Rattus norvegicus: one gene and its partners. The main gene of each other region encodes a partner of the protein of the gene in region 3 in a complex. Links are inferred from orthologs where the notes say so. Each region holds a gene or a part of one and is shown on either strand. Other genes may lie near its edges.

What was found.
Region 1: Cript (region 3) and Sf3b5 share a complex: the UniProt entries of both Homo sapiens proteins name them as parts of the minor spliceosome. The link is inferred for Rattus norvegicus from reciprocal best matches to the Homo sapiens genes CRIPT and SF3B5.
Region 2: Cript (region 3) and Rbmx2 share a complex: the UniProt entries of both Homo sapiens proteins name them as parts of the minor spliceosome. The link is inferred for Rattus norvegicus from reciprocal best matches to the Homo sapiens genes CRIPT and RBMX2.
Region 4: Cript (region 3) and Cwc15 share a complex: the UniProt entries of both Homo sapiens proteins name them as parts of the minor spliceosome. The link is inferred for Rattus norvegicus from reciprocal best matches to the Homo sapiens genes CRIPT and CWC15.
Region 5: Cript (region 3) and Snrpd1 share a complex: the UniProt entries of both Homo sapiens proteins name them as parts of the minor spliceosome. The link is inferred for Rattus norvegicus from reciprocal best matches to the Homo sapiens genes CRIPT and SNRPD1.
Region 6: Cript (region 3) and Gpkow share a complex: the UniProt entries of both Homo sapiens proteins name them as parts of the minor spliceosome. The link is inferred for Rattus norvegicus from reciprocal best matches to the Homo sapiens genes CRIPT and GPKOW.
Region 7: Cript (region 3) and Cwc27 share a complex: the UniProt entries of both Homo sapiens proteins name them as parts of the minor spliceosome. The link is inferred for Rattus norvegicus from reciprocal best matches to the Homo sapiens genes CRIPT and CWC27.

What each region holds. Positions count from the first base shown.
Region 1 is NC_086019.1:9,175,971-9,178,401, forward strand, and holds Sf3b5 (splicing factor 3B subunit 5), read left to right. Parts: upstream 1-1,218; 5' UTR 1,219-1,363; coding exon 1,364-1,624; 3' UTR 1,625-1,931; downstream 1,932-2,431. UniProt on the Homo sapiens protein: Component of the 17S U2 SnRNP complex of the spliceosome, a large ribonucleoprotein complex that removes introns from transcribed pre-mRNAs.
Region 2 is NC_086039.1:132,765,151-132,769,194, forward strand, and holds the start of Rbmx2 (RNA-binding motif protein, X-linked 2), read left to right. Parts: upstream 1-1,244; 5' UTR 1,245-1,251; coding exon 1,252-1,256; intron 1,257-1,445; coding exon 1,446-1,561; intron 1,562-3,582; coding exon 3,583-3,634; intron 3,635-4,044. UniProt on the Homo sapiens protein: Involved in pre-mRNA splicing as component of the activated spliceosome. As a component of the minor spliceosome, involved in the splicing of U12-type introns in pre-mRNAs.
Region 3 is NC_086024.1:13,340,135-13,344,147, reverse strand, and holds the start of Cript (cysteine-rich PDZ-binding protein), read left to right. Parts: upstream 1-1,213; 5' UTR 1,214-1,276; coding exon 1,277-1,292; intron 1,293-3,799; coding exon 3,800-3,865; intron 3,866-4,013. UniProt on the Homo sapiens protein: As a component of the minor spliceosome, involved in the splicing of U12-type introns in pre-mRNAs. Involved in the cytoskeletal anchoring of DLG4 in excitatory synapses.
Region 4 is NC_086026.1:19,585,702-19,589,715, reverse strand, and holds the start of Cwc15 (spliceosome-associated protein CWC15 homolog), read right to left. Parts: upstream 2,801-4,014; 5' UTR 2,679-2,800; exon of another isoform or gene 2,510-2,678; intron 1,469-2,509; exon of another isoform or gene 1,464-1,468; 5' UTR 1,461-1,463; coding exon 1,330-1,460; intron 827-1,329; coding exon 714-826; intron 181-713; coding exon 92-180; intron 1-91. UniProt on the Homo sapiens protein: Involved in pre-mRNA splicing as component of the spliceosome. Component of the PRP19-CDC5L complex that forms an integral part of the spliceosome and is required for activating pre-mRNA splicing.
Region 5 is NC_086036.1:1,968,279-1,972,473, reverse strand, and holds the start of Snrpd1 (small nuclear ribonucleoprotein Sm D1), read right to left. Parts: upstream 2,801-4,195; 5' UTR 2,684-2,800; coding exon 2,670-2,683; intron 160-2,669; coding exon 83-159; intron 1-82. UniProt on the Homo sapiens protein: Plays a role in pre-mRNA splicing as a core component of the spliceosomal U1, U2, U4 and U5 small nuclear ribonucleoproteins (snRNPs), the building blocks of the spliceosome.
Region 6 is NC_086039.1:17,468,299-17,471,798, reverse strand, and holds part of Gpkow (G-patch domain and KOW motifs-containing protein), read left to right. Parts: intron 1-2,764; coding exon 2,765-2,897; intron 2,898-3,500. UniProt on the Homo sapiens protein: RNA-binding protein involved in pre-mRNA splicing. As a component of the minor spliceosome, involved in the splicing of U12-type introns in pre-mRNAs.
Region 7 is NC_086020.1:37,706,539-37,710,642, forward strand, and holds the start of Cwc27 (spliceosome-associated protein CWC27 homolog), read right to left. Parts: upstream 2,801-4,104; 5' UTR 2,741-2,800; coding exon 2,699-2,740; intron 1-2,698. Other genes in the region: protein SREK1IP1, read left to right, coding at 3,364-3,376. UniProt on the Homo sapiens protein: As part of the spliceosome, plays a role in pre-mRNA splicing. Probable inactive PPIase with no peptidyl-prolyl cis-trans isomerase activity. As a component of the minor spliceosome, involved in the splicing of U12-type introns in pre-mRNAs.

The DNA of each region.
Region 1 (2,431 bases), on a different chromosome or scaffold from region 3:
AAGATGTGTGCTGCCGGGGTTGGGGGATATAGCTCAGTGGGAGAGCGGCAAGGCCCTGGGTTCGGTCCCCAGCTCCGAAAAAAAGAAAAAAAAAAAAAAGATGTGTGCTGCCACCACCTGGCAAGATGCTTTATGACAAAGTTTAGACAGAAGAATAAATATTAGATGGAGTTGCACAAGTCTCTAGTCTCAGGAGTCAGGAGGATTGCTGTGAGCTCAGGGACAAAACTTCGCCTCCCCCCTCTTACATCAAATAAACAAAAGTACCCCCAAACTCCTGTATTTTCAATTTGTCTGTCATCATCCATCCTCTCTGGCTATGATTGCTCTTACCCCATTCTTAAGATTTTTTTTTTTTTTTGAGAATACAATCTTCATCACGCTATTCGCATATCCTCAGGGAGTACCATGAAAGAAGTACAATTATCTTTTTCTGAGTAGTTTGTACCATGCGAGAAAGTGCACAACCCCCAACATAAGGCAGAAATCAGCAGAAAAACACAAGATGAAGAGAAAGAGGTTTCTTGTCTCGAGCCATATCCGACTTCAAGGAATAGCCTATGAATGACCTTAAAGAGGGGTTGTTTGCCCAAGGCCACAGAGCCTAGGTGGGTTGAGAAACTGGCGCCTGGAACTCCTTAGGGAAGCCATTAATGAGACTACCAGTGCTGACACTGATCAACAAGCAGCTAGCGAGAGTCAAAAAACAAAACAAAACAAAACAAAAAAAAAAAAAAAAACAACAAAAAAAAACTTTTCCCGGTACCCAAATCCTAAGAGACAAAACTTGGGCCAAGGCGGAACCATGCCACCATGTTAACTTCTAGGTACAAGAGTTAGTTTTCCTCGTTGCTCATACTGTTGTGTTGCGGCAGTATGAGATTTCAATGACAGTGGGATTATGAAACCCACGTAGGTTTCTCCTTCTTTGTAGCCCGGAGCCGTGGGATGAAGCTTCGAGGTTTTTGGACATTGTCCTATATAAGCCAGGCAAAACCCCTCAAAAACAATCTAAGACAAACTCTTTGGACTACATGTCCCAGAATGCAACGCGAGGGTTAGAACGTGATCACCCAAGAGCCACTAAGAGGACCATCATGCAACGCTCTTCGAAGTAGGCGGGCTCCGTGAGGAGACGGCCCACTGTTTCCTAGGCAACCCCAATCCCGCAACAGACTTTATTTCCCCTTCCGCCTAGGAAAAGAAAGTACTCCTGCGACTGCGTGTCGTCTTTCTCCTGCGCCAGCACGAATAGAGCTTTTGTGCGGCGGCAGCGGCGGCGGCGTCTCTCTGATTTGAACGCCGAACAGCGGTAGCTTCTCATCTGTGGCCTGACCTCGAAGCCTAAGAACAGAGCGGCGAGATGACGGACCGGTACACCATCCACAGCCAGCTCGAGCATCTGCAGTCCAAGTACATCGGCACGGGCCACGCCGACACCACCAAGTGGGAATGGCTTGTGAACCAGCATCGGGATTCCTACTGCTCCTACATGGGTCACTTCGACCTCCTCAACTACTTCGCCATTGCTGAGAATGAGAGCAAAGCGCGCGTGCGTTTCAACCTGATGGAGAAAATGCTGCAGCCCAGCGGGCCGCCGGCGGACAAGCCGGAGGAGAACTGAGGCGAGCGCTTCCCAGCCTTCCCCATCTGCCATCTGTGGACCGATCCTCCTGACTCCTGCTTCTCGACCATTCTCCGTTGGGTGTATCGCCTGACCTGCTTACCTGTGGACGGTTCCGAACAAGTCATCGAGAGACTGTCGGGTCTCCTGGGAGCTGTGCGGAAGGAGTGATCCCAGAATCGGCAAGCGAGGGAGAAGACTGCCTGGGAGTGATGACGCATTCCGAGTCAGCTTTTCGATAGTTGATGTCGTTCTCGCCTTTTTTTTTTTTAAATATATATCATACATAAAGTTAGGATTTGTTATATCTTTTGGTTTGAATTGCTGTGTTCTTTGGGAGGTATTTGGAGAGAGTTCTGTGGATCAAGATTTCGTGAGAATATGACTAGAAAACGGGGGCGGAAGCACAGGGCAAGCGTTTATTGACAAGTACTTTAGTTGTCACACACACTTTTATGATCTTCCCTCACCTCGATTTTCTTCATGCCTACAGTGTGTCTGGTACCAAGGAAACCTTCAAGCATGGAGTTTTTCCACATTCCTTCCCACCCATTTCTAGTCTTTGCTGTCATTAACCTCACTTCCCTTTATGCTGCAGCCCCCTCCCCCCTTTCTTGGTAATTAGTTTGTGTGTCTTCAGAAATGACAAACTGGCAAACAATGGTGTCCTGTCCCGACCCTGCTCCACCTCTCCCCATTCAGTTTTCACCAGAGCATTTTCCAAAGGTTTGAGGACATACATTATGCCGGCCAGTTTGGAAGCAGATATGCTAAACTAGTCAAGAGTTAGAAGATGGAGGGGGATGG
Region 2 (4,044 bases), on a different chromosome or scaffold from region 3:
GAAATTCTGCTGAATAAACACTCTTTGCTTTTGTATACTATTTGAGTCTGGGGGGTATCATTCTTCTGCTACTCTTGGACCCTAACACTCACAAAAAGGAACTCCTATTTTCTGTTTACATACTGATTTCTGGATAATTGTGATATGAATAATTATTAATTATATGATAATTATGATATGAAGTATTCAAGTACATATAGATTTCCCCTTATACCATTAGTTCTATGCATGCAGAAAACCAGTCCTCCAGATTCCTTCTATAGACCAACTGTACAGAACAAATTTAGATGCTCAATAAGGGATGATTAAATTAGCCTGACCTGATTGGTACAAGCTCAAGACATTTCAAGTTAAGCAAATTTTAAAAGATTTATTAGTTTTACTCATGTGTATGTATATCTGTGCATGCCATGGGAGTGCAAATGCCCACAGAAACCAGAGGAGGAGGATGGATCTTCTGAAGTTGGAGTTGTGAGCCACTTGTTTTGGGTGCTGGGATCTGAATACAGGTTCTCTGGAAAAATCACCAAATGGTCTTAACCACTGAACCACCTCCCTAGACATTCAAGCTAATTTGTTGAAGCTCAGTTTTTTTTTCCTCTGTAAAGTAGGGGTGGTAACTGTATTTCATGGGGTTGTTGGGAGGCCAGCTTGGTCTACAGAGCGATGTCCAAGACAGCTAGGGCTACACAAAGAAACCCTGTATGTAAAGAAACAGAGATTGAATGAAAAATGAAAATGGCAGAAACTGAGCCCCTTGGAGGCAGAGGTTTAGGGTAGGGGCAGCCACTGGTGTGAGACTTAGCCTGGGTTTGAGACCTAACAGAGACAACATGCATAAATTTTCTATCATTTGGAACCTTTACATTCTCTAACTCTTCAATTGTTAGGTACTAATTTGACAATGCTAATTTTTGCCTGCCTCTGGAAAAAGGCCACATCCGTTATTTAAATCTGTGGGCATTTAATTCAGACTGCAGAAGCACACGGATCCACTGTAACGCCCAGGTTCCCACCTTCGAGCTACACCAAAAAGGGAAGCAGGGAATAACTAGGGAACTATTTCGCCCCTGGAGCAAAAGCGTGAGAAAGCGCGTTTGCGTTACTGCGCATGTGCCGAGGCTTAGCGCGCCGGAAGTCCCGCCTCCATTTCCGTTGGCTCCAATCTGAGCTGAGTGTTCGGGTTGCGCGCGCGCTTCGGAGCCTCACCCGGAAGCTGATGTCTTAAGAGCGGAGCGCGAAGATGCGAATATGAAGTAAGGATTTAGTTTCTCTGAGGACAGGGGAGGGAGTTTCTCTGAGGAAGGGAGAATGGATTGAGGAGGGCCGCCCATAAGGGCGGGGACAGGTCCTCGCCTTCAGGGCCTCGGGGCGGGAGACGACCGGTACGTAGAAGGCGGGCTGTGAGGAAATGTACTTAAACGTCTTTCCCTTCTCCCGCACAGCCCTTTAACTAAGGTGAAGCTGATCAACGAACTGAATGAGCGAGAGGTTCAACTTGGGGTGGCAGAAAAGGTGTCTTGGCACTCGGAATACAAAGACAGCGCCTGGATCTTTCTTGGTGAGGTCTACATTTTTCTCTAGCAGTGCCTTTCAGAGTCTGTACCTCCCCTCCCCTCCTCCCCCTTCCTCCTGGTTGTTTAGCGCCCCTGGTCGTCACCTCTGAACACGCTGCTCGTCACCTCACACTCTTGCAGCTAGTCTGCTCACAGGTTCCTTTTTCACTTGGCCCCTATGATACTGCTTAGAAATTGGTATTTGCCATTCATTATATGAAAAATCTTGCCACTTGGTTGCTTAGAGACAGTTAACTCCCCAGGCAACCCATAGTGATGTCAAGGAAACTGAGGCGCACAGGGGTTACTGGGCTTGCTTAAGGTGCTGCATCACTCAAAACTATAGGGCTGTGTTCTTAGTCCTTATTGCATGTCTATTATCTGCCGTTTCTCAGAATTATTTTCCTCTTGTAAGTGGCTGCTTCTCCCAGTTCTTTGTTGTATTGTTAGGTACCAGAACAGACATTAACTGGCTTGGACGACATTGAGGGTTTCTCCTGCTTAACATTTGAAAGGCTATCTGAAAATGTGGAGGGATGTGAGCTTTGTTGTTCATTAAGGGAAAACTACTGATGAAAAGAATACAGTCTGGATTACACCCCTGGCCCTGGGTAGATACCGGGACATTTTCAGGAATCCTAAATGTTACATGCTTGTGTTCCCCTTCCTTAAGACAATCCAACAGGCTTTAAATTTTCTGGCCAGGAGTCACCTGTCAGGAAAGCTCAGTCATCTAAAGACACGCTAAGGACATGGGAGGGAAATGATCCCCAGTGCAGTTGTTACTGGTCTCTGTGTTAAGTCTACCTGTTATTCTGAGTTCTCACTTATCCCCTGCCCTCCCTTTCTGTCCATTCTCTGGATGCTGGCTGGAATCCTGAACATGCTTGCCCGGAACACTTTGGACTGTCTCATTCCAAATCTAAAGGCTCTCCTATCCCCTTGAACCACTCCTCTACCTCCATCTCTGTGCATTGCTGCTTGCTTGACCGCTAATTCAGAAGGCATGGCTGCTTCTTCTGCAGCTCCTTCATCCCAGTAGCTGCTGAAGCTTACAACTTGCTTCCCTATCAGCTCTCTCTCAAATGCTAATAAAATGGACCTCAAGCTTCCTCCTTAGTCTGCTTTAGAATTATATTATCAAGATAAGACATTACTAGCCTTTGTAAAAGGGGAACTCTTAACTCTCTGGTGACAATATTATTATCCTGTATTCACTTTATGTCCCAACCAAAATCCTGCAGTTTACCTTTGGAAAGAGGCTGTTGTAATAGGTATTGTGTTAAGCACTTTATATTCCTCATTTTACTTTATTTCTCTAACACTCCTGTGAGGCAAATATGATACCATCCCATTTTTACACTTGAGGGAAAACATGGAGGGAGGGGAAATTGTTTCCTATGAAATGCTTAATATTATCCCTTATAAATCTTAGCTTGCACATAAGTGAGGGTAATAATAGTATACTTAAACTTGCTGTTTATGAGATTGAGTCTTGTGCAGGAAATCACCTGCTTTATAGGATTTTTGGATGTGAGGATTCAAAGATAAAATTAATTTGGTGAGTGATGACCCCAGCCTTTCCACTCAGAGTTACTATTTTTTTCTCTTTCTCTTCTCTTCTTTTCTTTCCCTCCTTTCCCTTCCTTTTCTCCTTTTTTTCTCTCTCTCCCTCCCTTCCTTCTTCCCTCCCTCCTTCCCTCCTTCCCTCCTTTTCTCTCTCTCTCTCTTCCCCCCTCCCTCCCTCTGTACCTCCCTCTCCCTCTTTCTTCCTTTCTTTCTCTCTTTCTTTGAGGCAGAGTTTTACTATGAAACCACTGTGTAGACCAGGCTTGCCTGGAACTCACAGAGATCTGAGAGTTAATTACTTTCCTTCCGGACTACTGTCACTATACCCACTCATTCTATCATTGGATTAGACTGATATATTTGAGATTGTGGCTTGTTTAATCTGTACCTCCAGTGCCTAGCATGCAGTAAACACTTGCTTAATGTTTGTTGAACCCAAGTGTTTGTTTTCTTCTAGGAGGGCTTCCTTATGAACTGACAGAAGGAGACATCATCTGTGTGTTCTCACAGTAAGTCCTCTGTTGTTACCTATCTCCTGGGTGCATAGAACAGTTTGCTTCCATAGAGTATTTTTGTAACAGCAACAAAGCATTTCAAGCTGGGTGTGGAGTTGTACACCTCTATAAGAGGCTGAGGTAGGAAGATCACTTGGAGTGAGACCCTGCCTCAAAAAGCCATGAAAACCATTTAATTCTAGGCTGAATGACATCCATGCATGGGGAAGGCTAGAGTCTAGCTCAGTCCCAGGTTAGATAAGGTTCCAGAGAATTACCACATGGGAGATCCCAAAGCTTGGATCATTTGAGAGTCTGTCTGAGGGACTTTAGTCCGTTTCTGTCATTTTTACTGAGCTTCGTTCTGCATGGGCTTACATTGGAACAGACAGGCATTCAGGAAGATGCAGTATTGCCCCTTCTCT
Region 3 (4,013 bases):
GTTTGACCTAAAGAACATTTTTTATGTTATATTGACTAAAATTAATTAAGAACTTTAGCAATTGTTACAATGTGGTAAAAATCCGGCCCAAAAAGGAACATCCACACAAAAGGAGGAGAAATTAACAGGGAACGTAAAAGTGCAAGTCTGGGCGTTGTCCTATTTGCCCTCATTTAATTCACACTATCGTTTTCAAAGGCAAATATGGTACTGATTAAGCAAACCGGCTAAACAAGTTAGCAGAAGCGGCCAAGGTTACACACACTAAAGCCATTTCAAGTATCGCCTCTTTAACATGAAGACACCCTCCGGGGTCCGGACAAGAACGGATAACAATGAAAAGACTTCGGAAAAGTTTCTCAGATTCTCCCCTCCACTGAGGGATCGGGCAGGTAGGGGGATCAGAAATCCATCCTCTAAGTAGAGCTTGTCTCTGGGCCACCTGCAAATCCCTATCTAACACGGCGAGCCGTGCCCAAACGCAAAGGCCGGTTGAATGGAGCCCTTCCTCGGGCACCGGCGGGCGAGTTTCCCTAGCACGCCACACCTGGGAAGCCGCCCTTCGGAGTCGCGATCCCACGAGAGCCCGGTGGGAAGGCATGGCTGCTCCCGAACCCTCCTGAGCAGCCTTTGCCCGGGCGCTGACCGCGGCTCAACCCCACCCAGGTGACTCTGTCCCAACCCCGGACAGCGCGAGTGTGGGCAACTGAGGGGCATCATCAGAGAGAGCCCGGGCGGCCGACCCGGTAACCTGAGAGACGGTGACAGAGGGTCGGTCCCGCCGACAGACGCCGGGATCTCAGAGGGTCCGTCGCGCCATGCATCCTCTGGCCCGCCGGAAGCGTGGCGCCTTGGAAGCCACGGCAGCAGTCCGCAGAGCGACCTGCACCTGCCCCAGGAGAACTTAGGAAGCATCCCTCCCGCTTACCTAACTCTCCCGCCCGCCGAAGGGAAGGGGACACCACCGCCTCCCACCCTCAGGTGCGACAGGCTGCCATGGCCCCTCGCGCAGGCGCAGACCAGAAGGCGGGGGACTCACAAGCGGATAGCCAATCGTTGAAGAGAAGAGGCGGACCGATAAAGGAAGCCCCGCCCATGAGCTCGCGTTTATCCCTCCCGCGACTTTCTCCATCCTGGATAGGCCGGAGCGGGAGGGCTGAGTACGGAAGCGAACTGACGTAACCGGAAGAGGAAGTCTTCTCAGCTGTGTTGTTGATGTATTTTGGCAGCTGCTCCTGCTTTGCGGGTTGAGGGGGACAGGACGACCCGTGGAAGGATGGTGTGTGAAAAGTGTAAGTTAAGGCGCTGCTTCTGTGGGAGGTGGAGGCTGGAGGAACCCGACGAAATTCTCTTGGGATTTCGGCCTTTGTTTTTTCTCACCGGTCTGTAGTATAACCTTTGTCTTCCTTCCTTGCCCCACGGTCCTTGCCTATCCCGGGACCCTATAGCCCTATGCTTTGTGTTCAGAATGGTCTCAGTTCTGCACATCTATGCTTGTTTCTGTCACCGTCCTCGCGCCCTCCTTGGATCTCTTTAATTATAACTTCTTGACAGGATCCCAGAGACTTAAAAATCTTTCTGGTAGCATCTAGAGTTGCCAGGTGTAACAAATATAAATCCCAGGCTCTCAGTTACATTATAAGATTATAGGCAATGATTAATTTCTAGTATTATTAATATGTCCCGCATAATATTTAAATCTTGGCTTTTGTTCGCTGTTCCTTACTACAAAACATGCCGCATTTAATACAGATTTTACTTTAAAAATTAATTCAGTGGTCATCTGAAATTAAGTTTAATTGAATATCTTATACCATCCCGTCAGTTCATTAATACAGCATTAGGTCAGGTGAAGGAGAGAGTCTCATCACCACCAAAGAAATCTATGTAGTCATCCCTGGCTTTTAGAAAGGTCTTTTTAACTCTTTAAGTTACCATTCAGTAATTCCAATGAAACCCCTGAGATTTGTTGAAAATACTTATTGTTTTGTTTTTTCGTTTTCTGTTTTTTGTTTTTTACTGCAAAAGCTGTTGATTTGTTTAAAACAGCTTTCTTTTCTTGATCTCTTTCTTGGGCTAGACAGCCTTCTCTGACAAGATTCCAACTTGGATCTCAGTTAATGGCTAATATATACAACCACAGTACATAGAACTCTGGACACAGACACCACCTAGTAGCTGTGGCATCAGACTCAGCCACCATTCTTTTTTTTTCCAGTAAATTCTATTTCTTTATTATTTTTGAGATAATATAATTGCAACATTTCTTTCTTCCATTTCCTCCCTCTAAACTCTCCCATATATCCATCAAATTCCTGACCTCTTTTTTCACTAATTGTATTGAATGCATACATGTATATAGTTGTTTTATAAATGCAGCCTGCTCAGTTCATATATTGTTACTTGGATGTATGTTTCCGGGCTGACCATTAGCACTGGACAACCAATTGGTATGCCCTTCCCTCGGGAAGACCACTCCTAGCTACCTTCATCAGCTCCATTCTCAAACAGCTTTTTATTCTTTTTGAAAGTGGGGAAAGTGTTTAATTAAATGTGGCCTAAATGTAGATATGACCCTGTCCTTTGTGCTGTGCAGTAAAAGGCCATTTCTTTCTATTATAGTTACTCCTCTGCTCTTCTGAAAAATCTAATGTTTTACTATTTGTAACCTCCTAGTCTGTGTGCTCATTACACTCACCCTGTATGTAAACTGAACTCCTGCTCATACAGAAGCTGTACTGTCAGGCAGCCACCTCAGTTCTGCCTTTCCTTCTGTCATAAGTTGCTCAAAAAGTTCTTTGTCTCCAAATTTTTAGAGTTCTCTTCCATTTACTGGGTTCCAGGGTGTTTGTCTTGGTCTGCTTTGTTTCTCTTGATCCATTAGATCTTTGGGAAATGGTTGACCTCAGCTAGCACATCCATACCACTGAGTATCCAGTTCACCTCTCCACCTGACCTTTTCCCTACTTAAACTCTAAGAAGTAACTGTCCATTTGGATCTTGACGTCCGAGGCCCTCTACAGACAAACACCTAAGCTATCCTTCCAACCTCCTTTCTCCCACCTCACACTGAGCTCGCCAGAGTACTCTGTGCACTGTGGTACCCCTGAGCTTCCCATGCCTGACCTGGGGATGTGTCCTTTATTTACTGTTTGACTTCATCTCCTCATCTACTTTCCCAACACTTAAGCTCCATCTCCTTAGTTCACAGCTCAGGCTTCCAGCTTATGGTTCTACTGAAGGCTTCTTCACTTTTCAGAAAGGCTCCAGTCAGAACAAGAAAAGGTTATAAGCACATGCTCTAGGTTTCTGTGCAGTCCCGCCTGCTTCGTTTCCTCCCAGCTATCAGCCTACAAGCTCTTAAGGAGCTCGTGAACTTGGGTCTAAGCCCCTGAATCTAGACTCATGGCTTTGTTTTCCTCAGTACCTCCCACAGTGCTTTGTACAGACTAGGTGATTAGAGAATGTGGGAGAAATGAATACGTTTGTCAGAATTGTTTAAAGTATAATCAGTGGAACCTGTTGGTAGGGCATCTTGTTGTCCTGGAAGTTTTATTTAGAACCAGTATCTGTTGCCCACAGTTGCTATCATTCATTCATTGATTTCTACCCTGGTGTTAGTAGGTTCCTACTGTAGTCTCACTTTTCATGTCATTATGTACTTCAGGCATAATACAGTATATTTATTATTTTAAATTATTATTGTAACGTTAGCAGAGAAATGCGTTTTGTTATTTTATTTCCACACAGTGTGTGTATTAGATGACAGTTGTACTCTTTTGCTATCTTGCTACAACAGGTGAAAAGAAACTCGGCAGGGTTATCACTCCAGACACATGGAAGGACGGGGCCCGGAACACCACAGGTACTGCTTGCCAGTAGGAAACAGGAGCTGGATCAAGTGCTTGTGGACACAGCTCTAGGGCTTCACTGTTTGCAGAGTGCAGTGTTAGATGATGACTCTCTCGTCCATTAAACACAAAGAGGACCGGATTCCCCTGTGAATTCATATC
Region 4 (4,014 bases), on a different chromosome or scaffold from region 3:
GGCAGAGGCCCACAGTTCCAGCACTGAGGCGGCTTGAAACAAGCAAACAAATAAACACAAGCTAACCCAAACCCAAACCTAAAACACGTACATCTGTGAGAGGATCGTCAGCATCAAGGTTGGCAGCAGGAATCTGGTCTAAGCGGGGCTTCTTGGACACCGAAGAGGAAGTTGTGTGTTCTGAAGAAAACAAACATTTAGCATATTGAAGTACATACTGGATTTTAAGTAACATTTTAGAAACCTTTGGGCAAAAAGAATCCACACAAAGCACAGTGACAGCAGGGACCCACCCTGTGACGGGCAAGTAAGTCTCTGATAAATACTTGTTGGTTAACATGGGGTGAATTAGTGAGCACGCAGATCACAGCGTCTCAGGAGACTAGCCAATGCTCACATGTGGTAGAAACATAAAAAGGGTAACTGATGCTTCTCTCAAAACTCATCAATTACATGGGGAGTCCCAGACAGAAGGCCTCGGGCGGGTTCCAGCTGCTGTAAAGTCAAAGTCTACTGACAGGAACTGAAAAATGGTTTTAAACACTTCAGGTCACCATGTCTTCAGTACCAATGCATGACAAGATGGGACTGGAATAAACCTCATTATTGTCTCTTATCAAAGAGGTATAGCTCACAACAATGTTAATTGTTTCCAATCACCAGGAAACAGTTTGCATCACATAACTATGTGACACACGAGGGACAGCAGATACCTCGGGTTGGACGGTCCCTATTTTTCTCCCTTGCAGCAGCTCTCTCCCTCTCTTCCAACTCTCTCCTGAAGTCACGGTTGCGAACCTCTTCAGGGGCATCCTGTGTGGTTTGTCTTAAGTAGAAAAACAAAACAAGCCAAAACAGGTCAAAAATGTTGCCCCCAGTTGTCAAGGAAAAGAACCTATATGGCTATAGCAACTTGAGACAATTCAGAATGTAAGTGTCAATCAAGAACAAAACGGAAGAGGACAATATCCCAATCAGAGTGCTATTAATACACTCGTGGGGTTCCGTATCACACAACTTCCTACAGCAGGACGTCTCTTGAAAACAGTCCTCCACTCAGGGCTGTTACAGCAACTCCCATACTCACTCAGAAGACTGAGCTGGTTATCATGACTAGTGAGGGCTTCATCCACACCAGCAATCCCTGCTCAATAGGAACTTATGCTGAAAGACCGTAGAGCACTTTACAACTACAGCAAATAATTGTATTGTAAACTTTTTGAAAGCCTTTTCTTGGAAGATCGGTAACTTAAATACTATTAATTTAGACATGATCATAAGTCATGGTTGGTTCCATTCTGTGAACAGGACAAATGAAAGGCTTCTTACCTGTACTTTATCTTTGTATGAGAGGGAAGGTCTCTGCTTGAATACTGCTTGGAGAGCTGGCTCAAATCACCTTCTCCTTTTCCTCTCCCACCTCTTGCAGGTTCAAAAGTTGGCCTGGCTGCTGTTGTCATCTTCTATTCTTTGACAAACATGGGTTTAATTATACTTTCATTTTATAGATCATTCATAATTACCTGTCCTTAAATCATTCTCAAAACTCTCCCCAGAACTGCTTAAGTAGTTTGCTTCAGTACAAGTCTCTAAAGAGCAGAATCATGAAATTCAGGGTGTTTACTAGATATGCACTGCCAGGCAGCTCTTATTTGATATAAATAACTACTCTGAAGGTCTGAGTCTGTGCTTCTGTTTTAGCTGGGTAGCCCTGCGCAAGTCTCCTAGCTTGATTCTATCACTTGTGGAATGTTGATACTTCTATAGAATTATTATGAGATTTCTGACACGTGATGTCAGATCTTGGACAACAGTGTAGTGTGGCTTTTAAAATAAATGACTTAAATTTTTTTTTTATATCCCACTAGCACTAGGTTCTCTGAGATTTTGTTTTATTTATTTTTTATGATAGGATCTCACAATGTATTTCTGGCTGAATTAGAATTCACAATGCAGATCAAGCTGGCCTAGGACTCTCCAGAGATCTACCAGACTGCCTCTGCACTGCTGGAATTGTCCGGCCAAGATTTGCATTTTTATCAGAAACCTCACACTACAGCAAATGGACCAATAAAAAACAAATTTCTTTTAAAGTTACAGGCAAACTTATTGAGTGTCTTAGAGTTTGTTTAAAACCCAATGACATTTACACTGGCAACATTACCCCAGAATCTTGTTGATTCAATTTCCCTCTAAAGCAGTTACCGCAACATTCGTAAAGCTTTGGTAGGCTGTAACTTAACGCAATCCTAAGAAAATCGGAACTCCACTCAACCAAACATCAAGAACTGGGCATGACTGGGTACTACTCCTGTGATTCCAGAGCTTGGGGGGTGAGAGCAATAGAATCGGGAGTTCCAAGCTAGCCTAGGCTACCAGAGAACCTTTTGCAATTTTTAGCTGTCAAATAAGAATTCCAGCCTAACTACAGGGCTACTAAATCTCCGTTAGCTTAAGCAGCATGCTCAGACAGACCGTGTGGGACGTGGGAGTTTCTACCCCATCCTACCCTCCTTTGCTTTTCTCAGTGTCAGCGGTGCCGCGCCGGTGACCGCCCCGAGCTCGGCTGCAGCTCCCGACCGCCATTCCAGCACCGCGGCCCGGACGATAGTCACGGCTCTCCGACTCCCCGGTGCGGCCCGCACAGGGACCACAAACCACTATGCCCTGCTACTCACTGTGGCGGGGGTTCGACGCAGTGCCTTCAGAAGCTCACTCACGAACCATTGCGACCCTTAACTCCCAGAAATCTCTGCGCAAAACCGGAAGCAAAATGCAGAACTTCCAGTCTCTACACCTGGGACTCAACTAAGACCCGGAAGCAAAATCTTCGCGCTCCCAACGGCTGTGTAGAAGACGCGAACTCCACACCCGGAAGCAAATCCCGAGTTGGTTTTTTTTTTTTTTTTTTTTTTTTTTTTTTTTTTTTAACCGTCTTTTAGAGGCTGACCCAGTGACCAATCCGCAGAGACACGGGAAAAAGATGGAGTGACGTCGCCTAGGGGCGGAGCCAAGGCTGCTTAGGGGGCGGGCGTTTGAAACCGGTGCTTCATAGTCGACCCCAAATATCATCTTGTGCCTTTGAGAACCAATTACTTAATCTCTCTTGCGTCTTTTCCTTTCCCGACCCCCTCCCAGACTCTTTCGCTGCGGTTCTGCGAGGACGGAAGGCGCCAGGAGCCGGTCCGCGTCTCGCAAGCGTTGAGATCTGAGGAGAGCTTGCCAACTGACCGACCCAACGGCTCCTGCTCCTCAGTAGACCCCGCAGCCTAGGGACTAGAGTTGTCACTTAAGTGGATATGAAGAAGGCGCAAATAAGTACGGGGGCAGCCACGAGCTTTCCAAAGGTACCATTCCTGCGAAACCACTGGCCTTGAAGGCAGGGGTTATAGTCGCATTGCTTGTTAAGATATATAAATATATATATATATATACATAGCTATATGCATTAAGCGTTGTAGTGTGAGAGGAGATGCCGTGAGCGTTTACGATAGTGAGAATTTATGGAACAGTGGGCCTAACTGCCAGGAGGAGCACGAGATGGGTAAGATGGCTTCGCCAACGTTGTCTTGGTGTCCATCATTGAGATTTTGGGGACGGCCAATGCTCGATAAAGAGAATTCTGTTCTCCAGTTTATCTCAAGTGGAAGGATCTCCTAAAACTGAACATTTCAGTTCTTCCCTGACCTTCCTTTGGAACTTTTAAATGAAGAAAGAGAATTATAAAAGAACCCCCCCCCAATGTGCCTCCCCTGAAAGTAGAAGGTGAAAAGCTTCGTTTCTTTCTTTTTTTTTTTTTTTTTTTAATTTATGGAAGGTGTGCACCTCTCTCAGCCTCACACAAAGGACGCTGCTATCATATTAGTGGCTCCAACCCAAAGCTGGAGACCCTCTACCTTCCCTCATCACATCCTGTTCACTTGCCATGCTTGCCCAGTATTGTGAAAATTACCCTGAGCTTCCCTTCCCTGTTACTAACCCTCAATTCAGGCCACTGGCATTTTCCTCTTGGAT
Region 5 (4,195 bases), on a different chromosome or scaffold from region 3:
CAACGCTCATTAAACAAACACAAGGAAGAAAACAACAAACAAAAAACCTTAAACAAAAACATTTCAGAAACAGTCTTCTCACCTGTGATTGTTCCATGGACTTGCGTTCCATTCTTCAATTCAATGGTTACGGTTTCATGACTCAATTTCATCAAAAATCTATAAAAAGAAATAAAGTCCTGATTTTTTACCTTAACATTTTAAGTCTTTTGATGAAGTCGGTAGAGTAAAAATGCTAGAGATCAAAATCTTTAAAATGCCACAACAGTTCATATGGGGTCTGGATAGCTAACCAGCAGTGCAGAGCACTCCCCTCTCTTGCAGAGGACCCAGTTTGAGTCCCAGAACTCACACGAAAGCTCACAAACATTTGTTATCTTTGCTCCCAGAGGATCTGGAGGCCTACGCTGACCTTAGGCACCAGGCAAATTTGTGATGCATACATGCAGATAAAACATTCACACATAAAATAAACATCTTAAAAATAATTCTTCATAATAAATACACAGTGCTTAACTTTTTCTGAACCAAACTCATAAACTTATAAAAGAATGAAGCAATAAACTTTCCTCTGGCATCTTTGGACGTTACTGGGTCCACCTGCAGCTCACAGGCTGCAGAGCACTCAAATAAGCTTTCACCCGAGTCTGTAAACTTGGGCTGTCCTGAGCTTCCGACTAGAGAATACTAGAAAGAGACTATTACAAAACAACCTTAAATGAAGATATCTCAAGATCCTGGAGTAGCACTGGGAGTGGTGGTGCATCCTTTAATTCCAGTGCTTGCTAGACAGACAAATGGGTCTCTGTGAATTGGAGGCCAGCCTGTTTTACATAGTGACAGTGAAATTGTCTCAACAAACAAAAGACCCTAGACTAATTTTCAGACACAAAAAGGAAATAGAATTCTAATTGATAGCATAAGATTACATGGTAGAAATAAAGAACTTCTCTTTTCCTGCATTTTGGTAAACAGGGATATTATTCTAACCCACAAGCATACATGTAAGATTCTACTTTACACAAAGTAGGCTATTCTTTAATGGCATCAATAGTACTTGGAGCTTATTTAGCAGTTTACACTGGGGATAATTCCCTAAAAATAAATATTCCAAGAGCTAGATAGTAATCTACTATATGGAAATGTCAACTACCCCACTGTGAATGATGTTTTCAACTTTCTGCCGTTACAAACCCATTTATGCAGGCCCTCACCAGTAACAATTAACAATCTCCCAATTTTCTATCTATGCAAAAAAAGAAAAAACGGTGGGGGAGGGGTGTTGGGAAGAAGCACAGCAAGCCGGTATATATGCACAGAGGGTGAACGCTTGCTGCTGCCAAGTCTGAGGATCCCAATAATGGAGAACCGACTCCTCCTACGGGTCCTTTCATCTTTGTGCACACAAACTTCCCCCATAAATAAATGCAACTCTTTTTTTTTGAGACAGGATTTCTCTGTGTAGCCTTGGCTATCCTGGAATTCATCAGGATGGACTTGAATTTACATAGATGCTCCGGCCTCTGCCTAATTTGTGGCACCCTCCACCCTGCACATAAATATAATCTCAAAACCCAAACTAAATCAAACCATGGTAGTGCATCATTTAATACAGCTCTAGGGAGGCGGAGGCAGGAGGATCTCTGTGAATTCAAGGCCAGCCTGGTCTACACAGTGAGCACCAAGCCAACCAAGGAGCACACTCGCGCACTCTCTCACCCCAAAACCAATCATTACCACTAACAAAATCAATTAATTGACTAAAATATTGAGCAGGGCCATCAAGTTGGCTCAGCAGGTAAAAAGTACTTGCTGTAAAGGCTGAGGACCTGAGTTTTAATCCCTGAGACCCTGGTGGAAGGCAAAAACAAATTACCAAAAATTGTCTTATAACATACCTGTGCACGAGCACACACAAATAGTAATTTACTTTCTAATGAGCAAAACCAAGAAAAATGTATGCTTGTAATCTAGCACTTGGGAAGCACTTTAAAGTGTCCAAAGGCATTCTGGTCAACTACAACAGGTCTTGACACAAGAAACTAAATATTTCTAAAAACTGGCTTAGATATTATATACCCTGCCCCAGACTTGGCCACAAGTCTGTAAGTTTGGAATTAATCAAACCAGCAAACAAGACTCTAGTTAGGCTCCACTTCCGACATAATCTATGCAATCAGGAGAAATTAACTTGTTACCTTTTGCCCCATCCAGAGACACTTTGTCTTTCCTGAGTCAGAAGCCTACATTAACGAGTTACATGCTTTGGTCGGTCAAAATTAAGGAGAACTTAATCTAAAACGTCTTGCAAATCGGCGTCGTTATTTGCAGATAAAACCATCCTACTTCTAAATCCTCGTCACTGCAAGTGCTCCGACTCGCCACGAAAACGGAGGGACCACTGCTCCGTTTAAGTCGCCGGATGAGAAGTGGACAGAGACGGCTTGGCCACTTCATTCCTGTAAGACCGGAGGGGGTTTGAACGCGCCGGTCCCTTGCCCAGGGTTCTGGGCGACGAGCAGGGCGCGGCGGGGCCCGGGCGCCGGAGGCCGTTAGCAGGCCGCGCGCACGCGGCTTTCCCGCCTCCCTGGGAGCACAGCGGCCCGGCCTCCTAAGCTGGCCCAAACTCTCTACCCGCCGCTCTCCCCCAGCCAGGTAACCCTCCTCACCTCACGAGCTTCATCCTAGCGGCGCAGTCTCCCTTCTAGTCCAACTGTCCACGGAATTCAGGCTCCAAAGACCCACAGACTAGGAGTATGAATGGCCGGAAGAGCGCGCGGAGACCTGCGGATGCGCGACGAGAACGCGGAAGCCGCGCTGCCTTCCGGCGACCGGGAGAGCGACAGCGGCTCCTAGCGACGGGAGGAGCGCTTTGCGCCTTCGGAGGGCGGAAGGGCTGGTGGACTACACCTGCAGGAGTCCGAGACCACTTATGAATTTATTAAAACCAGTTGTGAAGGCCTGGAACTTTCACACGTCAAAGGAGGAAAAGTTCTGAGAGAAGCCCTCCAAGATCCGAGCCTAATCCTTGGGATCCACATGTTGGAAGCAGGGAAATCAATCCTGCAAGTTGTCTTTCGTTGGCTAAGCTAAGCCAATCAGATCTTTGGACAGAGTTTTAAATAAACCTTTCATTTTATATATAGTAAGTCCTTCGACTTAAAAAAATCCAATTCCTTATTTGCAATAACCACACAGTTAAATTTAGTAACACAACATCTACAATTGATATAATTACAAATATAGTGCAAATAATTTCCACTATCACAAGAAGTTTGGATAATATTAATTTATTATCATTTGATTCTAAAACGTATTATTTTTGGTCCTCAGGAGAATGTTGTGTCTGAAAGCAAGGGAATACAACTGCTTACTGTGCTCTCCAATATCTAGAATACTGTTTTCATAGAATATGCTTTTGTCACAAAACGCCCCTGTTCCAATGTATGGGAACTGGTCCCACGGGTCAATGAGATCAAAGGAGGAGGCAGGGAAGCCCAGAATTGCAGTGTGCAGTTTATGGGTGACTTACAACAGATACATTGGCCTGGGCATCAGGAAAAGCACATAGGTCCTTGTGATTAGGGTTAGAAGGTATGTGGGGTATAAACAGGTGAAAGTTATTTCAGAGCTAGGCATGGTGGTGCAAGTTTGGGGCCAGCATGCATCACCAGATTTCACCCAACTAAGAGTATTTCTTGTCTATTTCAAGCTAATCAGAGTCAGGTACATCCTTAGGCCAAGGTCTTGTCATAAAGCTTCAGACAACTCTCTCGTGATTTGTCTATTTTATTCTGGGAAGCTGACCATGGTGACTCAGGGATAATTTTGATAGTTTCCACTCAAAATAATTTTAGTAATGTCAAGATAAATCTATAGTCCTTTATTTTATTTTATTCTTTAAATCTATAGTCCTCTATTGATATGCATGAACAATTAGATGCTTCTCTCCATTAAAACGTGCGCTTTATAAGGAAGGAGACCTTGTGCATATCACTCAATGCAGTAATGCCAATACTGAGCAACTGGTACTCTTACCCACAAATCCCCTTTCCACTTGGGGTCATCTTCCTTCTAACCCATCTCTTTCCCCCTCAGTAATATAGGAATGTCTAACATCTCATAGTTCATTAAGCTCACTCTTCTTTTCAGATGTTTGTACATGTAATGTTATAATCTAGTTAAAACGTATTGT
Region 6 (3,500 bases), on a different chromosome or scaffold from region 3:
AAGGTGTCATGGGTACATGACTATAATCCTAACACTTCAGACACTGAGGCAGGGAGCTCACAGACTCAAGACCTGTATCGGTTACATAGTAAATTCAAAGGCAGGCTAACAATTACTAAAGTAAAATAATAATTTTAAAGGAATAGGGATCTAGCTCAGTAAGTAGGAAGAGGCACCTAACAGGGAAAAAAAACATAAGAAAGAAGCAGGCTATAGTGGAACATACCTATAATACCAGCACTCAGGAGACTGAGGCAAAGGAATTTCCCAGAGTTCAAGGCCAGCCTAGGAGACCCTCTCTCAAAAATAAATAAAAAAACCACAACCAATCAGAGTTGGGAAGCCCAGTCCCAAGGGATCCAGCTACAAAACACTCTGAACCTAGGGTTCAGAGAACATTGCAGAAGAGGGAACAGAAAGACTGTAAGAACAGTGAGGAGTTTGCTATGGTAGTGCTCTTAACTTCTATAGTCTAGGTCGGCAAATAACTCCAAACCTATTCTCATGTCAGTAACCCCAATTAAACTCAGTGGGACACTATAAAAATGACAGGGAAGGAGAGTGGCTGTGAGGGACGGGAGCAAATGTGAGAGCGCCAAACTCCATCACATGCACATGCCAGAACTAGTCAGAGTCGGGTAAAACATGTCCGCAAAGGAGGGCGACTTAATGAAAAGGTGTCCACTAGGGGTAAGGAAGAGAAGTTAGCTGGGGTCACAGATCAAAATATAATATATGCATATGTAAACAATATCAAATAAGTATCGCAAAACAAGAAGAGTATCTTCTTAGACACACCTGGCTCTAACCTGGTGAAGTTCAACAGGAAAAGGAGGCTAAATACCAAAGGATGTTTAATAAAGCCTCATCTTCCTAGGGAAGAGCACACCAATGGGTTGGTCAGTGCCGAACAGCCCTGAAAATGTACATACAGGTAGCAGTATATGGACTGAACAGGTGATATTTTGGAGTGTGTGTAGATGCATGGAGAAAGGGAGGAAGGGGAAGGGAGAAAAACAAGGGATGGACATGGTGGCATTCTTGAGAGATTGAAGCAGGATTCAGGGCTATCCTGAGCTTTGTAATGAGTTCAAAGCAGCCTCAGGTATTTAGCAAAACCCGTGTCCATAAAACAAGGGGCTGGGAGATAGCTCAGTAAAAAGGGTTTACTACGGGGCTGGGGATTTAGCTCAGTGGTAGAGCGCTTACCTAGGAAGCGCAAGGCCCTGGGTTCGGTCCCCAGCTCCGAAAAAAAGAACCAAAAAAAAAAAAAGGGTTTTCTACCCGAGCTTGAAGACCCCAGGAAGGTGTGGCCACTGCAAGGTCTTTTTGAGCCTCAGTTCTCAACGAGAAGGGAGAAAATGCCATATCCTACAATTTCCACAAAACTTAAGTATTAAAGCTGAAGCAAGCATGCAAACCCAGTATCTAAGAAACCAAACAGGAGAAGTGCAAGTTAAGGCCAGCCTGGGATGTATGATAAATACTAGTCTAGCCTGAACCCTATCTTGAAAAAAGTGAAAGCTGGGAGATGTCTTGGTGTGTAAAGTGACTGACTAGCATGCCAGCACGAGGACATGAGTTTGGATCCCCAGCACCCACATAAAAACCAAGCATGCACGGCATCTATAACCCAGAGCTGAGTAGAGATTCTAAGTGGGTCTCTAGGGTTCATTGGCCAGCCAGCATAGCTGAATCAGTGAGCTCGGGTTTACTATCTCAGAAGAAGATGGAGGCTGGAGAGTTGGCTTCACGGTGAAGAGTATGTGCTGCTCTTCAGTGGGCCTACGTTCAACTTCCAGCACCCACTCTGCATGCAGCTCACAACTGTCCAGTCCCAGGAGATCCAACACCCTTTTCTGGACTCAGCAGACATCAGGCATGCACGTGACATGGTGTACAAACACATACATGCAGGCAAAAACATACTTGCACATAAATACCAATTTCAAAGAAGTAAGGTGGCTCACACCTTTAATCCCAGCACTTAAAAGGCAAAGACAGGGGCTGGAGAGATGGCTCAGTGGTTAAGAGCACCGACTGCTCTTCCCGAGGTCCTGAGTTCAAATCCCAGCAACCACATGGTGGCTCACAACCATCTGTAATGAGATCTGATGCCCTCTTCTGGTGTGTCTGAAGACAGCTACAGTGTACTCAAATATATAATAAATAAAATATTTTTTAAAAAAAGGCAAAGACAGGCAGATCTCTACAACTTTGAGGACAGCCTTCTAGTTCTAGGCCAGCCAGGGCTATCTACATCTACATAGTTTTGTTTTTTAAGAAATTTTTTTTCTCTTTTAGGGTGAGGTTGAGGGTGAGGTTTACATAGTTTTTTTAAAAAAGGAAAAAGCATAGGTGATGTACATTTAAGGAATGTACCTGCTGTCAACATCTGTCCTCCACACACATGTACACACGGCACACAAACAGCAGGTATGTGCATGTGTACCACATATACACGCAAGTCTTCATTTTACGTTTTGCTAAGGGAGACACAGAGACATATACCTGGTCCCATTTCTCAGGAGTCATGGTTTGAGAGAAGAGCCAAAGGAACCATGCCTGGTCCTAATCACCAAAGGTCACGATGTACATTTGGGCATAATGGTGTGCACCTTGAATCACAGTACTCAAAGACTGATGGATCTCCCAAGTTATAGGCCAGCCCCGGCTACCTAGGTAAGGGCTTGATATTTTAGGCCTAACAGCAGTAGTCCATTTACCCTCTGCCTTCTCCTTCACTCCTTCCCTCACACCTTAGGTAGAAGGCCTAGATCCTGACAATGTACGAGCCATGGTTCGGCTGGCAGTAGGCAACCGCGTTGTGAATGTTAGTGAGTATTGCCTGCGGCCTGTTTCCCAGCAGGAGTTTGATAGCCACACGTCGAAGCCAGGTGAGAGTCTGAAAACTGGAGACTTAGAGAAGCATGGTGACAGGCAGGCTCTCAAGACCTGTAGGGAGAAGGGGCACTGTCTGACTTCCAGTCAGAGGTCAGGGATAAGAAGGGACAAGAGTAGTTTATTTACTTTTTGTTTGGTGGTGCTGGGATTAGAACCCAAAATCTTGACAGTGCTAATCAGGCTCTACGAAGGAGCCATACCCTCAGCCTAGTTTGTTTAGTTTAACTGAGAAGAACTTGATCTAATACTGTATATCTTCATCCTCTCTGAGCAGTAAGAAATGGATATGGAATTCAGTTTCTACATCAAGAAACTGGGTCCTCATGTATTTAGAGTGGCGGTCCCCTCTTTTGCTAAATATGAAACTAGAGTTAAGGTGTGAGCAAGGAGTGGTGAACAGAACAGTGATGGTTGTGGGAGGGGCAGCTTGGAGGTGCCTGCGGCTCTTCGTCCACTCTTGTGAACACCAGGCAGTTGACTCTGTTGTCTTTGTTATGGGCCAGGTAGTTGAGAGGGACTTCTTGAAGGAGGTGGATAGAGAACAGGTCCTTTGCCAGGAGGACAATGACCCTTGGAAGGAATACAGCGAGGCTTTC
Region 7 (4,104 bases), on a different chromosome or scaffold from region 3:
CTTGCTGAGTACTGGTACTAAAGGAGTATACCACCACACCTAGCAAGTTGTTACATTTGCTTGTTTGTTTTTAAAACAGGGTTTCTTTGTATAATCCTGGCTGCCCTGGAACTTGCTTTGTAGACCAGGGTGGCCCTGCAGTCAGAGATGTGCCTGTCAAGTGCTTTGATTAAGATAAGCACCACGACTCATGATGAAGTTTCTACATTAGTAATGTTATCTTTCAAATGGCAATTGTGAAAGCTGGCCTAGTTAATCTGGGTAACATAGGCCCATGTAACTAATCATTAAAACTTGGATCATAAAATAAAAGAATGACTCACAAGTACCCAGACTCTGTGTGTGTGATTTCTTTTCTTTTCCTTTTCTTTTAATGTGGGTTCTATAACATGTGTCTTTAATTCCAGCACTCTACGCTGAGCCGAGGAGACAAAAAGGTTCTCCAGAAGCTTACACACAGGCCAGCTAGGCTGACATAGGCAGCATCACACAACAAAAAGACACTGCCTTAAACTAAGTGGAAGATGAGGGCCATCATCTAAAGTTATACTCTGAACCTTCTAATGTATGCAGTGGGACAACCATGAAACTGAAAGACCCCCAAACTTGGGGAGACCCTCGCTCCAGTCATGGGTTGAGGTGCCCCCAAGAAACGCGAGTAGCCGGTCTTGATGTAACAGCAAGAGGTAGCGTTTATTAACGAGATCCCAGACCGACACTTATCTCACACAGGAGACAGAGGAATCGGCCCCGAGCCTCTTCAGGCAGGGGTTTATATAGGAGAAGCCAGGGGGTTTCGCATGGTTATCAGCAAGGGAAATGGGTACAAGGTCTCATCTGCAAGCAGTACGTGCGGGCTGGGGTGTTCTCAATATAGGAGAACGTCTTATCTTTATCTGTAGAGCAGGGAGTCATACGTCCGGATGGCCCCCTTCCTGGAACAATCCCTTGACCTTGTTTTTAGGCTTGGCCGGGCACATCTCAGGCCAGCTCTGTCCTGTCCCCTTATCTGCTGTTCTTTTGCAGTTTTTATGAAGTTTTTATTTTAACTCTTCAAAACAAGACACACACACACACACACACACACACACACACACACACACACACACACACACACCTCATGTATATATACACAATTTAAAAATATTTGTTGAAGGAATGAGCTCCTGTTCAGAAATGCTTTTACTCTATGAATGTGTCAAATCATTTCCTACAGTAAACAACCAGTTCCAGCATAGCTAAAGACTCATATGAAACCCTCTTTTATTTCTTAAAAGTGTCAAACAACTAAGTCTGGGCATGATTCACCCTTACTTATGCTCAATACCTCTCAGAAGCTAAAGAAAACATAGTATTAATTCATCTGCCTAGCTATTCTTTCATAGTGCATGAACTCCACAGTGTATGTGAAGCAATGTTCTAGGTCAGTGGCTCTCAATTCCTAATTCTGTGACCTTTTAATACAATCCCTCATGTTGTAATGACCCTCAATCATAAAATTATTTCCATTGCTATCTCATAACTGTAATATTGCTGCTGTTATAAATCCTAACATGAATATCTGATATGTCGGATGTCGGATATTCAACCCCTGTAAAAGGGTTATTTGACCAAAGTGGTCACAAACCACAGGTAGAGAATCACTGTTTCTAGATGTTTATCTTCACTGATAGTGTTTGCATTCTATATAGGAAAGAAACAAAAGTAATATACTATTAAATACTTGGAAATTGTTGAGACCCAGGGCATCACTGAGATTTGCTATTTTATAGGCCTCTTTGTTAAGAGTGACGTTTGAACAGATAAAATAGCATACTAGAGAAATGAACAGCAAAAGTTAAGGTCCTGCATTGGGGAATAAATGGTCAGTCTATTTTATCTCTACGAGCATTTATTAGTTAAAATTAATATTGTCCTCTAGAAATATAGCTCGGTATGAAACCTATCAGGGAATCGATTCCCATTCCTACCCAGTAATATTCCTCACTCCCCCGCTGCCTCTGACAATTATCTCAAAAGATATGTCCTCCAAGATGTTTTCCCCATCATTTCCTGTTTTTCACTCCGCCTTACTATCATGGCAATATAATCTTCTTCAATTCTTCCCAACCAAAGGCAGGTGTGTCGATGCACGCCTGTAATTTTGAAATAGGGAATTAGCAGCTAGCCATATATATATATGTGTGTGTATATATATATACATATATATGTATATATGTATATATGTATATATGTGTATATATATGTATGTATATATATATATGTATATATATATATTTGTGTGTGTGTGTGGGTGGGGGTGTGTGTGTGTAGCACACCAACCTTGCTTTGTATCATCAGCACCTAGTAGAGTGCGTTGTGCCAAGGAGGCCTTCAATAAATGATGGTAGAGAATGCGCGACCTCCAAGTTAAACAACTAAAAAAATGAACAATCTTAACGTAAGTCTTAAAAACAACAGACACTAGAAGGCGCTCACGTGAGTTGGATCAAGGAAGTTAAGGGGTCAGAAGACTAGCGAATAGAGAAGTTGCTCAATAACTCTCAAAAATACGCTGAGACATGTCACTGTAAATAGTATAAATGCAACAGTGGCCATAAGCATGATGTGGAGGGCAGTCCTTTTGGTCTTTCAACTCCCTTGCCACCCCCAATCAGGTTGCTCTTAATTAGGATGTCCAGGTGGTAGAGGCTCTCACCTTCCCATTCGTGGGCGGCTCCTGGATGTAGATGTTACTCATCTTGCTCACTGCTCAAGACTCCGTTCCTTAGTGTGGCCGCGAGCGAATGGCGGGTCTCTGACGATGCCCACCTGTTAGTAGACAATTCTTTACCTGGGTACTTGGGGAAAACTTTACTCGGTCAGAGTTAGACAGGACAACCGTACTAAGCACTAGCTACTCCCCCAAACTATCCCCTCATGGACGTCGCCATGTTGCTCCCGGATCGCAGCACCGCTAACTCCGGGAGGGGGGATGTCCCTGTTCTTCAGGAAACTAGAAAAGACTATAAGACCTCTGCAACTTTAGAGAATTTGTCGTGTCATTCATAATACTAGCTAAACGGCCAATCCGTAAATCCGGGTGCTGCGTCCAGGTCCGGTGTTTGCAGATAGCACTCACCTCCGGAAGCTGGCCGAAATGGTTCAGACCACGTGTGCTCCGCGGTAGGACACCCCTGGAAACTGGGTCCGCAGCTTCTTAGTTCCGCCAACCCTGGATGTGCATCCGGCCTTCTCCTGCCCTGTGAAGTTGTAGTGACCGGGTGGGAGAGATCCCTCTGCTAGTGCGTTGTCCTCGCTAAGGACCTGAACGAAACGCGATCTCGAAAGCTCAGGACTCCGGTGACCCCACTCACCTGCATTATGGCAGTCCCAGGTGAAGATCAACCGCAGGGCTCTCTCACTCCAGAGGAATGAGGCGAGCAGGGGAGTCCAGGACCGGGGGTGGCAGGGAGCACTTGGGGATTCAGGCGAAGGCCTGAAAATTTAGAATCGGTTGATTTACATGAAAAAGTTTACACTACAAGTTCAAAGAGGGCTGGGAAAGATCATCTCTGTCATTCTTGTGCAAGCCCAAACTGCACAGGATTACAGGGAAAGTGTATTGTAAGAGGGACAAGAGAGTTGGTGACAATGAGAACTGTAGGCCTAAGGGGACAAGTTGCCCGTAAGACTGTAACTTTCACTGAATTTCAAAATAAAATTCGAAGTGTGAACTTTTGGCGAATCCAGGTGGTACATTGTAGTGAAAGTCATCCAGTCAAGAAGTGCACCTGGGGCTTGTCCTAGCTCTTCCAGCCTTTAGTTACAGTGTAGCTGTAGGCCGGTTTCTGTGCCCTTCTGGGGCCTCAGTTTCCCTCTTAGTTTCAAGAAGGCGCTTCCTTGAATTGTATCAAAGATTCTTTTGTAGGTTCCACTTTGGTGTTCAGAGGTTTCTAACCTAGACACGGCACACTGGGCTCCGGGGATGTTTTTGTTTGCTGCTCCAGTTTACTGGGGAGCCTCAAGAACTTCCCCAAGCCGGCCTTGTCAGAATGTGTTTCTGCAAAAACCCTAATATCGGGCAGGTGTTTTTAAGAGATATACCCACCTTACATCTCCAAG